Linked DNA regions of Sus scrofa. The protein of the gene in region 1 interacts with the protein of each later gene in a pairwise test. Links are inferred from orthologs where the notes say so. Each region holds a gene or a part of one and is shown on either strand. Other genes may lie near its edges. The genes, in order: NR1H2, NPY and NCOA6.

Region 1 (4,216 bases):
TCCATATGCCACGGAGTGGCCCCAGAAAAGCCAAAAAACAAAACAAAACAAAAACAAACAAACATGTAACTGAACAAAATCCTGAAATGCCCCTAGGGGGTTGCTTTATGTTTGAAAAAAATTCTTTTTCCATTTTATAGGCAATTTCTGTGTTTATCATAAGCTTCATGCTAAGGATGGAGAATTCTGGTGAATTGTAAATAGTATTGTGCCATTCTATCATTTGCTTGGGGCCAATTAAAATTTGTTTTACATCTGTACATGTTAAAAAAAAAGTAAACACAGAGTTACTGTAGAACTCAGAAACTCCACTCCTAAGTACACGGGAGTTCAGTCATCTCCCAATGCCGTGTTAGTCACTCTGCTTTATTGGTAAACAACCTCGGGTGGAAAATCCCACAGCTTGAAGGCCACGCTGGAATGGACAAAACAAGTCAAAAGAGACCATAGAGTATATATTCCCATTTTAAAATTTTTTATTGTTTATTTTTTGGTGCAGAAACCCAGGAACGAAATACTCCCATTTTTTAAAAAATGCTTATATGCTCGATATAGATCTAATTGTAATTGAAAAGACTTTGGAACAACTCTCATCTTCTACCTGTCCAAGTATTGAGTTTTCTTTTTGCTTTTCTTTTTTGGTCACGCTGTGGCAGGTGGAAGTTCCTGGGCCAGGGAATTGAACCCGTACCACAGCAGCAACCCGGGCCGCTGCAGAGTCAACACCGGATCTTTAACCCCCTGAGTCACAAGGGAGCTTTCTTTCTTTTTTTTTTTTTTTAATTCTTCCTATCACCAAATTATTTATTTTATGGCCCCACTTGGAGCAAATGGAAGTTCCCCGGCCAGGGACTGAATTCAAGCCCAGCAACAGCCAGATCCTTTAACCCAATGTGCCTGCCAAATGGAACCCGCACCTCCGCAGTGACCCGAGCCACTGGAGTCGGATTCTTAACCCACTGGCGGGCAGCAGGAACTCCCGAATTATTTTTAAAATACATTTTTTTTCTGCGTCTAGGTATGTAATTAACTTATTTAAAACCAACAAGCAGCTCAGTTCCAAAATCTGAAAAAATTATAACAACCAAAAAAGAACAAATACGCTTTAGAAGAGCCATGGGGGGAAAAAAGCTGTAGCCGGGGAGACGACGCCGGTAAATCCCGCGAGCCCAGGGAGGCACAGGGCAGAGTTTAAAGCAACACTGGGCGGGGCAGGGAGGTTTGGGACTAGCCACGCCGCCCTCCCGCCCCACTTTGGATTGAATGGAACCGGAACTCTTCTTCCGGCCTTCCGTGGAGCTACCCGGTAACGCGAACTTCCGGGCGGCAGCCGCCATCCGTAAGAGACAGCCGCTTAGGCTACCCCTAGACGGACCGGAATTCCGTCATCCTGACTCCACGCCCACTTCCGGAAGTGACGCGTGGTGGGGTTGCCGGAAGAAGTGGCGAAGTTACTTTTGAGGGGACCCTAGTCGCGGCGCCGTGCCAGCAGATACGGAGGCGGCAGAAGAGAAGCAGAACAAGGGGACGAAAGCAGGTGCACCCGAGTGTGGGGAGACGCGGGAGGAGCCCTGGGCCTGGGGCTTCCCGGCGTTCCCCGCGCTGCTTGGCTCAGCCCCCTCCTCTCCTTCCACCCCTTCCCTTCCTTAGCTCGCGCCGCCGCCGGCTGTTTCCAGGGCAACAAAAGTAGGAGACCCCCACAAGAAGCCGCCCACGAGACCCTCGCGCGCAGCCATGAGCCCCGCCCCCCACTGGTGTTCGGAGAGGGGCGGGACCTGGAGAGAGGTATGGGGGCGGAGCATCACGGGAAGGGGTGGAGGCAGGATGTGATGGGAGGGGGTGGGGCGGGGCCTGGAAGGGATGGGGAGACCTAGGAGGTGTGGGCGGAGCATAATGGGAGGAGGTGGGATCAGAATGAGAGATGAGGGCGCTTCCTCGGTGGAGGTGGAGTGAAGTCTGAGTAAAAGTAGGTGGGGTGAAACTGGATGGGAGAGAGGAAGTGAGGGTAGAGCACTTGAAACTGCAGGGACGAAGGGACGGGACGTTTCTGGAAAAAGCGGGTGGGCGGGATCTAGGAGTGGTTGGGGTCTAGGGGAGGGCGGGGCTTGGCCCTGCTGAGGGCTGTCCTGGAGCATAAGGGGGCGTGGCCTGTTAGAACTGGGTGGGAGGGTCCGAAGGCTGTCAGGGGCTGGGAGTGGGGTTTGTACACAGTAGGGTGAAGAGTCTGGAAGAGATGAAGAGGGAGGTGCCCCATTGAGACCTGTGGCTGGCGTAACCTGACCCTCTCTGGCCCCACAAGGCTCTCAGGCCCCCTGTATTCTGCAGGCTGCTCCGTGACCCCACCATGTCCACCCCCACCACGAGTTCCCTGGACACCCCCTTGCCTGGTGGTGAGTGACTCTCCCCCACCCAGCCACTGCCCCCCCGCCCCATCAGACTATTGTCAGGAGAAACCCACTGTGCCTCCATCTCCCAGGTAATGGTCCCCTTCAGCCCAGCACTCTGTCGTCTTCATCCGATGGAAAGGAGGATGGCCCTGAGCCATTGCCCGGAGGGGCGGACCCTGATGTCCCGAGCACTGACGGGGCCGGCTCAGCCTCCGTTGTGGGTGAGATGGCGCCCAGGCACACGGACTGGGGTTGGTATGGAGGTTTGAGGTGGGATCTAGGAAGGGAGAAAGAGCAGAAGCGGGGCCGGGCAGCGCTAGTTCCTCTCCCAGGCATCCTTGCCACCTCTTATTTTGGTCCACTGAGGTTCACTGACATACACATCTTTCTCTCTCATCGTCATCTCTCTGGGTCACCCTCTTCACTCTGGTTCTTTGCCTCCGATCTTTCGTGGATGTTTCCCTTCTGGCCACCGTTTATCTTTGTGGATTTGTCTCTCATGGCTTCTGTCCACTCATGCCAGTCATCCTAGACCCAGCAGAGGAGCCGGAGCGGAAGCGAAAGAAGGGCCCGGCTCCAAAGATGCTGGGCGACGAGCTGTGCCAAGTGTGCGGGGACACGGCCTCCGGCTTCCACTACAACGTGCTCAGCTGTGAAGGCTGCAAGGGCTTCTTCCGGCGAAGTGTGATCCGAGGCGGGGCCGGGCGCTATGCCTGCCGGGGCGGTGGAACCTGCCAGATGGATGCCTTCATGCGGCGCAAGTGCCAGCAGTGCCGGCTGAGAAAGTGCAAGGAGGCTGGGATGAGGGAGCAGTGTGAGTGCCAGGAAGGAAGCGGTGCCAGCCTGGCCCCTGCCCAGCCCTGGGGCTTCTGTTGAAGCCCGTGTCTCCCCACCAGGCGTCCTCTCCAAAGAGCAGATACGGAAGAAGAAGATTCGGAAGCAGCAGCAGCAGCAGCAGCAGCAGTCATCACCCACAGCGCCCGGAGTCAGCAGCGGCTCGGCTTCTGGGCCGGGGGCCTCCCCTGGAGGATCCGACGGGGGTGGCCAGGGCTCTGGGGAAGGCGAGGGCATCCAGTTAACAGCTGCGCAGGAACTGATGATCCAGCAGTTGGTGGCGGCCCAGCTGCAGTGCAATAAACGCTCCTTCTCGGACCAGCCCAAAGTCACGGTACTGCCCCTTCCCCAGCCTCGAGGGGTGATGGGCCCCGAGGGGTCAAGGCCCCAGGGGAGGATGTGGCTCCAGAGGGCAGGGGCTTTGAGAGGAGGGGCTCCTAGGGAGTTTCGGCTTTGTCTCGAGGGGCCCATAGCGTTGGGCCCCTGGGAAAAGTCCTGAGAGTAACCTGGCGCCCCATATCCCCAGCCCTGGCCCCTGGGCGCAGACCCCCAGTCCCGAGATGCTCGCCAGCAGCGTTTCGCCCACTTCACGGAGCTGGCCATCATCTCAGTTCAGGAGATCGTGGACTTCGCCAAGCAGGTGCCTGGCTTCCTGCAGCTGGGTCGTGAGGACCAGATCGCCCTCCTGAAGGCATCCACCATTGAGGTAATGGCCAGCCCTCCCGGCCTCAGCAAGGCCTTTCCATCCTGCCCTCGGAACCCAGCAATAAGCCCCAGGAAGATGCTGGGAGCAGAGGGACAAGCAAGACTCCAGTCCTTGTCCTTGTGGGGATGACATTCTACAGGAGACCTAAGCAAGTCATCAGAGCCTCCCACGAGGCATGGAGAGAAAGGAAACAGGGCCTGAGGCTCTGAGGATAATTGAGAATTGGAGTAAGCATTGAGTACCTAGTGTGTACACCTGGCCCTGTCCCTAGTGCTGGGCGTGTGGCAGT
Region 2 (4,169 bases), on another chromosome or scaffold:
GGATCAAAGTTAGAAAGTGTTTTGCTCTGACTTTACCAAAGGCTTTTTCACCGAAGCCGACGCCTAGAGCCTGGTATTTGTGTTACAGGCATTTGTGTTTGTGTCATGCGTGTGGAAAGAGGAATCACCTAAGAGAAAGGGATGCTGATCTGCAAAACCTCTCTGTCGCTCACACACACACTTGCTTGCTGCCCATAATAACTGCTATTTAATGCTGTCCCAATGGCACCCAAACCACATTTCAGTTTAACACAGTCACTTGCCATTTTCGCATCAACATGATGTGTGACTGAACGTTTTAATCTCCTAACATTTCATTTAGTCAGAAAGCTTCAGACTTCTAGAAGCTTTCCTTTGGGGGAACTTTAAGACCTAGTCCACTGCATGAGATCCTGCTCCTGTAAAAATAGTTTATGTGTGTCTGCTCTTCATTCCACAGGTTTAATGCGCTGTGCCCATTACTGGTGATCAGGTGTTTTGACCTGTTTCATTTCAATCAGGACCCACATTCTCAATCAACGCGCATGGACCTTTTTGGGACCAGGCAAAGGCCAGCAGAGAAAAGAGAAATTGCTGTTCAGTTAATTACCCAGTAGCTTTGGACCAACATTTTTCGTTTGCTCTTTAGGGGGTCTCTCGGCACATCAAATGGCGCTCTGTTCCGGCAAACCCATACAGTGTCCCGCCTGGGAGTTTTCAGGTGCCGAGCGGGCTCCGCGTGTTTGGCGGCGTTCTTGGGGAGGGCTGATATCCGCGAAAAACAGGTTGAGAAAGGAGCGAAGCCTCAGAAGCCTCTCCTCAGCCCCTGGGAGGAAGGGGCCGACGGGACCCTCTAGATCGGGACTTCGGGCAGGCTCCTGGGACCTGCTTTAAGCGCAGAAAAATCTGGGCACCACGTTGTCTCCCCCGAAAGCGCACAGGAGGAGTGTTCCTGCCCTTGCCGCCCGGGTCTCCCGCACAGGCTCCACCAAGCAGAGGATTCGGGTCCCTCCTACCCCGGCGCCCGGCTGGTGGGTAGTCCCGGTGTCAGACGACAAAGATGCTCTGGACTGCTCCTGTCTCCGGCAGGATTAGACGGGGCGTGGGGACAGCGAGGCTGGGCTGCTGCACCAAGGCAGGAACTTGGGCTTTGGCGTGGTCCAGCGCCCTCGGAACGCGCTGCCTCGCTCGCATCCTGCCAGTCACCCCCCTTCCCCGGGCAGGGCGGGCAGAGAGTGAGTGGCTCTGGGAGTCGACGCGCCCGCGGCAGCCGCCACAGCCCCCTCCCCCACTACCCCCCCCCCGCCCGCCGCCGCCACTCGGGGGCGGGAAGTGGCGGGTGGGAGTCACCGAGCGTGACTGCCCGAGGCCCCTCCTGCCGCGGCGATGGAGCGCCATAAAAGCCCTGCTGCGACCTGCTCTCGACACCCCATCCGCCGGCTCTCACCCCTCGGAGAGGCGCGCCGGACAGCAGAGCGCCCGTCGCCCAGCCACGCCCGCCGGCCAGCCCGCCACCACCGTGAGTGCCACGACCCTCTAGCTTGGTCCCAGCTAAGGGCGGGTGGGGAGCGCCCGTGAACTTGCCCCGGGCGCCTGGGGAGCTGGAGGGTAGCGCCTCGCTTCCCAACCCCTACGCGCCGCGCTCTCTGCGCTCCCGACGCGCGCCAGCCCCTCTTGGCGGCTCGATTCCACCTGCTCCACCTCGTCTGCTCTAATGGTGCATCCGCCCTTCTCTCCAGCCGTCCCGGGGGGGGGGGGGCATCCCTCTGGGTTAGCTGTTGGCAACTATGCAGGGACAACACGACCCTCGGGGGTCGCTGCCTGCAGGGAGGTGGCCCAGGCTGCGCCCCTCGATGAGGAATCCCCGGAGCTTGAAAGACCCGCTCTCTGCCACCTCTCGGGATCCTTGGGATCCGATCTGAGGCTGGCTGGCCCCGGGAACAGTTCTTTCCCCTCTCCCCCAAATTGCCACCCTGAAGTACTCTCAGCCATCACCGCCGAGCTGCTGCTGCAGCCGGGCCGACCAAAAGTAGAAAAGAAGAAACTTCTTCCCTCTGACCAGCGGTTTGGGGAAGAGGGTAGGAACGGAATAAGTCCTCAGCGCAGCGGGAGGAACTTCTAATCTGTTTTTAAAGTGTAAAAACTGGCGCTGGGGGGCCCCAACTGTGCACCTCTCACCGCAGCATCTTTGGCTCTGCAACTTGACCGAAGTTGCCTGGAGTTCTCGGGCGGAGTAGAGGAGCTGGGCCAAAGTAGATCTTGGCCTAAATCGCCACGCTCAGCACCCCTCTGGGTGGAGGGGTGGGGGTGGTAGCAGAGAGATGGGCGCGGGGATACAGAGGAAAGAGGTGAGGGGCGTGTGTCCTCTGAATCCGCTGCGCCTTCGGTGCCCGCAGATGCTGGGTAGCAAGCGACTGGGGCTGTCCAGACTGACCCTCGCCCTGTCCCTGCTGGTGTGCCTGTGTGCGCTGGCCGAGGCGTACCCCTCCAAGCCCGACAACCCCGGAGAGGACGCGCCGGCGGAGGACTTGGCCAGATACTACTCGGCGTTGAGACATTACATCAACCTCATCACCAGGCAGAGGTAGGTGGGCTACCGCGGGGTGGGTGAAGCTGGGAGCGCCCTGCCTGCGTACCCCAGAGATCCTGGGGGCCTTAGAGAACAGAGACCTTTCTTTTCCTTCTTTGTGTCCCATGCAGGGTAGTTATCAGACACACACATACTCAGCTCTCAGTAAATGCTGTGTGGCTGACCATCTCTCACTACCTTCTTTTTTTGTTGGGTGGAGGGAGGGGTGCACTGTTTGGAAATCTAGACAGGAGAGTACCCCGAGAAAGGCATCAGGACGGTGCCAGGGAGGTACTGTAGGGAGAAGGGTGAGCTGGGTGTCTAGAAAAACAACAGCACAAACCAAGGAGGAAACAGCTGGGTCGCCAAAGACAATGCCAGATTTTCCAACTTGCCCAGACCAAACTGAATAACTGTATTCAGGGAAAGACAAATAGAATTGGTTTTATCCCTCCTGTAGAGTATTTTATTGCATTCTCAGCTCCTTGCTTGAAAATCCTGGTCCTAATAAGTAGAAATTTAGCATGTAAACAGTTGATCTAAAATGCTGAGACTTTTCCCATTTCGTAGTAGGTGAGTTCTGAAAAGAAAATGCCCACTTGATGCTTTATTAAGGAGAAACTTAACAGTGGTCTATTCACTCTCGGGTGCATCCAGGGATCACATGTAGTTTGAGGAATTGTCTTTATTCTGAATTCCCGGAAAGCTAAGAATTTCACTCTCGATATCAGATCTTACGCAAAAAAATCAAATCCAAACGGTTTTACAAATAACATAGGATTTAAAATTTGTTTCCAAAATTGGTTCATCTTAGTTTTGAATCATTCATATCCTAATTTAATTACTGAGATCAAATGACCTTAATAAACTAAAAACAAGGTACCCTTTACAAACATTAATGTTACTGAACAATTTTAAATTGTTTTATGAAGCATTGTTTTGGTTTTTTTAAACCCTATTTCAGGGAATAGTTGGAAAGGATCCCAAGTGGGACAGAATTTATATTTCTTAAAGTTTTCTTTTTTTCTGTTTCATCTAAAATCTGTTTCAACCTGAAAGTCTTTTTAAAGTACTGATTTATATAGAAACAGAAATACAGGAAAGTGCCAGAATTAAATAGTATTGGTTTATGATCCCTGAAGACTGATCATTTTCATGAAATATCTTAATAGACTTTTCAGAAAGTTAATTGCTTTGATTCCTGCGTATGCTATCATACAGGTCAGAGAAAAGAACCGTACAAACAAAAAAAGGTATTGTTAATTTTTTCTAGGAAAGTGTTTGTTAGCGATTTAGTCTGTTATAACATACAGTAGAACTCATTTTGCAAAGATGACTGCTGTAAACCTTTACCTGTAGAAAGCGCTAGCATTTCGAAATTTTCTTAGGCATTATTTTGGTGTCTTCACCTCAAAGCTTTGAAATGAGTATAATCATCTCCATTTTATAGATCGTGAAACTAAGAACATTTCATGAAAGCTTTTTTTAGGGGTGATTACGCTGGAGCCCTCATACTGATCTTCCCTAGATGTTATCACCGCCGCCAACACTGTGTCATCTCCAACACCCTTGATGCGGGGAACATAAAGGGACTTGAGTTTCAGGGGAAGAGATTCCGGTT
Region 3 (3,561 bases), on another chromosome or scaffold:
CCACAGCCACCACAGCAGCAGCCACAGCCACAACTGCCACCACCACCACAGCAGCCACCACCTCCCAGTCAGCCACAGTCTCAGCAGCAGCAGCAGCAGCAGCAGCAGCAGCAGCAGCAGCAGCAGCAGCAACAAATGATGATGATGCTCATGATGCAACAGGACCCCAAATCAGTTAGACTTCCAGTCTCCCAGAATGTCCATCCCCCAAGGGGTCCCCTGAACCCAGACTCCCAGAGAATGCCCATGCAACAGAGTGGCAGTGTGCCTGTCATGGTCAGTTTGCAAGGACCTGCCTCCGTGCCACCATCACCTGATAAACAAAGAATGCCAATGCCTGTGAATACTGCTTTGGGAAATAGTTCAAGGAAAATGGTATACCAGGAGAACCCCCAGAATCCTTCCAGTTCACCGCTAGGTGAGATGTCCTCGCTCCCTGAGGCAAGTGGCAGTGAAGTACCATCGGTCTCAGGAGGCCCAAACAGCATGCCTTCACATTTAGTAGTCTCCCAGAATCAGTTAATGATGACAGGGCCAAAACCTGGACCATCACCCCTTTCAGCAACTCAAGGTGCAACTCCCCAGCAACCTCCTGTAAATTCCCTGCCCAGCTCTCATGGCCACCACTTTCCAAATGTGGCTGCTCCAACCCAAACATCTAGGCCTAAAACACCAAACAGAGCCAGCCCCAGACCCTATTATCCTCAGACTCCCAACAACCGCCCTCCCAGCACAGAACCTTCAGAAATCAGTCTATCACCAGAAAGACTCAATGCCTCCATAGCAGGACTCTTTCCCCCACAGATTAATATTCCTTTACCTCCCAGGCCAAATTTAAACAGGGGGTTTGATCAACAAGGACTAAATCCAACAACTCTGAAGGCCATAGGGCAAGCACCTTCAAATCTTTCCATGAATAATCCTTCCAATTTTGCTGCCCCACAGACTCACAAATTAGATTCTGTGGTGGTAAATTCTGGAAAGCAGTCTAATTCTGGAGCAACAAAACGGGCAAGTCCAAGCAACAGCCGCAGGTCTAGTCCTGGGTCAAGTAGGAAAACCACCCCAAGTCCTGGGAGACAAAATTCAAAAGCTCCTAAACTTACTCTGGCCTCGCAAACAAACACAGCCTTGTTGCAAAATGTGGAGTTGCCAAGAAATGTATTGGTCAGTCCCACTCCTTTGCCCAATCCTCCTGTACCTGGGAGCTTCCCTAACAACAGTGGACTGAATCCTCAGAATCCTACTATGCCTGTTGCTGCAGTAGGGGGTGTTCTCGAGGATAACAAGGAAAGCTTGAATGTGCCTCAGGACAGCGATTGCCAGAACTCCCAGGGTAGGAAGGAACAGGTAAATGTTGAGTTAAAAGCAGTCCCAGCCCAAGAAGTTAAAATGGTTGTTCCTGAAGATCAATCCAAAAAGGATGGGCAACCTTCGGATCCTAACAAACTGCCCAGTGTCGAAGAGAACAAAACTTTGGTGTCTCCTGCTATGAGGGAAGCACCAACATCATTAAGTCAACTTCTTGACAACTCTGGAGCTCCTAATGTGACCATAAAACCCCCCGGGCTTACAGATCTGGAAGTAACACCCCCAGTAGTTTCTGGAGAGGACCTGAAAAAAGCATCCGTCATTCCCACACTGCAGGATCCGTCTTCTTCTAAAGAACCCACTGGTTCCCTAAATTTACCTCACAGTAACGAGCCGTGTTCAACCCTTGTGCATCCAGAATTGAGTGAGGTCAGTTCTAATGTTGCACCAAGCATCCCTCAAGTAATGTCAAGACCTGTCAGTTCTTCCTCCATTTCCACTCCTTTGCCCCCAAATCAAATAACTGTTTTTGTAACTTCCAACCCCATCACGACTTCAGCGAACACATCAGCGGCTCTGCCAACTCACCTGCAATCTGCATTAATGTCAACGGTCGTCACAATGCCCAATGTGGGTAGCAAGGTTATGGTTTCTGAGGGACAGTCAGCTGCTCAGTCAAATGCCCGGCCTCAGTTCATTACACCTGTCTTTATCAATTCGTCCTCAATAATTCAGGTTATGAAAGGATCACAGCCAAGCACAATTCCTGCAGCCCCACTGACAACCAACTCTGGCTTGATGCCTCCCTCTGTTGCAGTCGTTGGCCCTCTACACATACCTCAGAATATTAAATTTTCTTCTGCTCCTGTACTGCCTAATGCACCCTCCAGTAGTCCTGCTCCAAACATACAGACAGGTCGACCCTTGGTCCTTAACTCACGAGCCACGCCTGTTCAGCTTCCGTCCCCACCTTGTACAGCTTCTCCAGTTGTCCCTCCTCATGCCCCTGTCCAACAAGTGAAAGAATTGAATCCAGATGAGACTAGTCCTCAGGTGAGCACCTCAGCAGATCAGAGCACTCTGCCCTCTTCACAGTCAACCACAGTGGTTTCTCCCCTTTTGACTAATAGTCCAGGCTCCTCTGTCAACCGACGAAGCCCAGTCTCATCTAGTAAGGGCAAAGGAAAAGTGGACAAAATCGGCCAGATTTTGCTGACGAAAGCTTGTAAAAAAGTTACAGGTTCTCTTGAGAAAGGGGAAGAACAATATGGTGCAGATGGAGAGACTGAAAGCCAAGGGCTAGAGACTGCAGCTCCAGGGCTCATGGGAACAGAGCAGTTATCCACAGAGCTGGACAGTAAAACCCCAACTCCCCCAGCACCCACTCTCCTAAAAGTGACCTCTAGCCCTGTGGGCCCGGGCTCCGCCTCAGCAGGACCCAGCTTACCTGGCAGTACTCTCCCCACCAATGTACGCTCAATAGTAACCACTCTGGTACCCTCTGAGCTCATCTCTGCGGCGCCGACCACAAAAAGCAATCATGTTGGCATAACATCTGAGCCACTTGCAGGTGGCCTAGTGGAGGAGAAGGTGGGATCTCATCCAGAGCTTCTGTCCAGCATAGGTATGTACTCGGGGCATGGCATCATCTCATGTGAATTTTTAGATGACCTATCCCACAAGAGAAAGCATGACTTCTTTTCTACTTGGAGGAAGAAGAATGGGCTAAATGGCAATAGTGATAGTTCCATTTATTTGAAATACATTGGGAAAATATTCTTTTAAAATCCTCTGTTAAGTTTACATTCATTAACATGGTTCTCAGCTCTTGAAATAATGAAACACCTTTCATTTATATAAAATATTTCATTTTACAAAGAAGTATCAACTATGTCAGGTATCCCTAACGCCATTCTACGGGTGAAAAGATTGAAGCTCAAGGGTTCAGTTTTCATTCAAAATCTATCCTGTGAGTCTCCAATTTAACATTGTTAAATTGGGTGAACAGCAGCTTCTGTGGATTCTCCTCACCAAAGTGCTTTCAGCTATTTCAAAACAGTTATCTCACAGCTTCTTCATTGTATTCTGTCAGGGTCTGTTCTCTTCTGACTTGCCTCTCCATAGGAGAGCTTTCCAAAAAACCAGGTTTCACCATAATAGACATGAGAGGACCAAAGTGGTTGAGAGATAGGCTTAGGTTGGTATCACAGTGCCAGCATTTACCAGCTGTATGGCCTTAGGCAAGTTACA

Evidence for each region.
Region 2: the proteins of NR1H2 (region 1) and NPY interact in a two-hybrid assay, tested with the Homo sapiens proteins (3 studies listed by BioGRID and IntAct). The link is inferred for Sus scrofa from reciprocal best matches to the Homo sapiens genes NR1H2 and NPY.
Region 3: the proteins of NR1H2 (region 1) and NCOA6 interact in a two-hybrid assay, tested with the Homo sapiens proteins (2 studies listed by BioGRID). The link is inferred for Sus scrofa from reciprocal best matches to the Homo sapiens genes NR1H2 and NCOA6.

The regions. Positions count from the first base shown.
Region 1 is NC_010448.4:55,237,156-55,241,371, forward strand, and holds the start of NR1H2 (oxysterols receptor LXR-beta), read left to right. Parts: upstream 1-1,380; 5' UTR 1,381-1,537; intron 1,538-1,650; 5' UTR 1,651-1,785; intron 1,786-2,211; exon of another isoform or gene 2,212-2,325; 5' UTR 2,326-2,344; coding exon 2,345-2,390; intron 2,391-2,476; coding exon 2,477-2,608; intron 2,609-2,910; coding exon 2,911-3,201; intron 3,202-3,283; coding exon 3,284-3,555; intron 3,556-3,747; coding exon 3,748-3,927; intron 3,928-4,216. UniProt on the Homo sapiens protein: Nuclear receptor that exhibits a ligand-dependent transcriptional activation activity. Binds preferentially to double-stranded oligonucleotide direct repeats having the consensus half-site sequence 5'-AGGTCA-3' and 4-nt spacing (DR-4).
Region 2 is NC_010460.4:47,990,874-47,995,042, reverse strand, and holds the start of NPY (pro-neuropeptide Y precursor), read left to right. Parts: upstream 1-1,316; 5' UTR 1,317-1,498; intron 1,499-2,375; coding exon 2,376-2,563; intron 2,564-4,169. UniProt on the Homo sapiens protein: NPY is implicated in the control of feeding and in secretion of gonadotrophin-release hormone.
Region 3 is NC_010459.5:38,131,390-38,134,950, reverse strand, and holds part of NCOA6 (nuclear receptor coactivator 6), read left to right. Parts: coding exon 1-2,935; intron 2,936-3,561. UniProt on the Homo sapiens protein: Nuclear receptor coactivator that directly binds nuclear receptors and stimulates the transcriptional activities in a hormone-dependent fashion. Coactivates expression in an agonist- and AF2-dependent manner.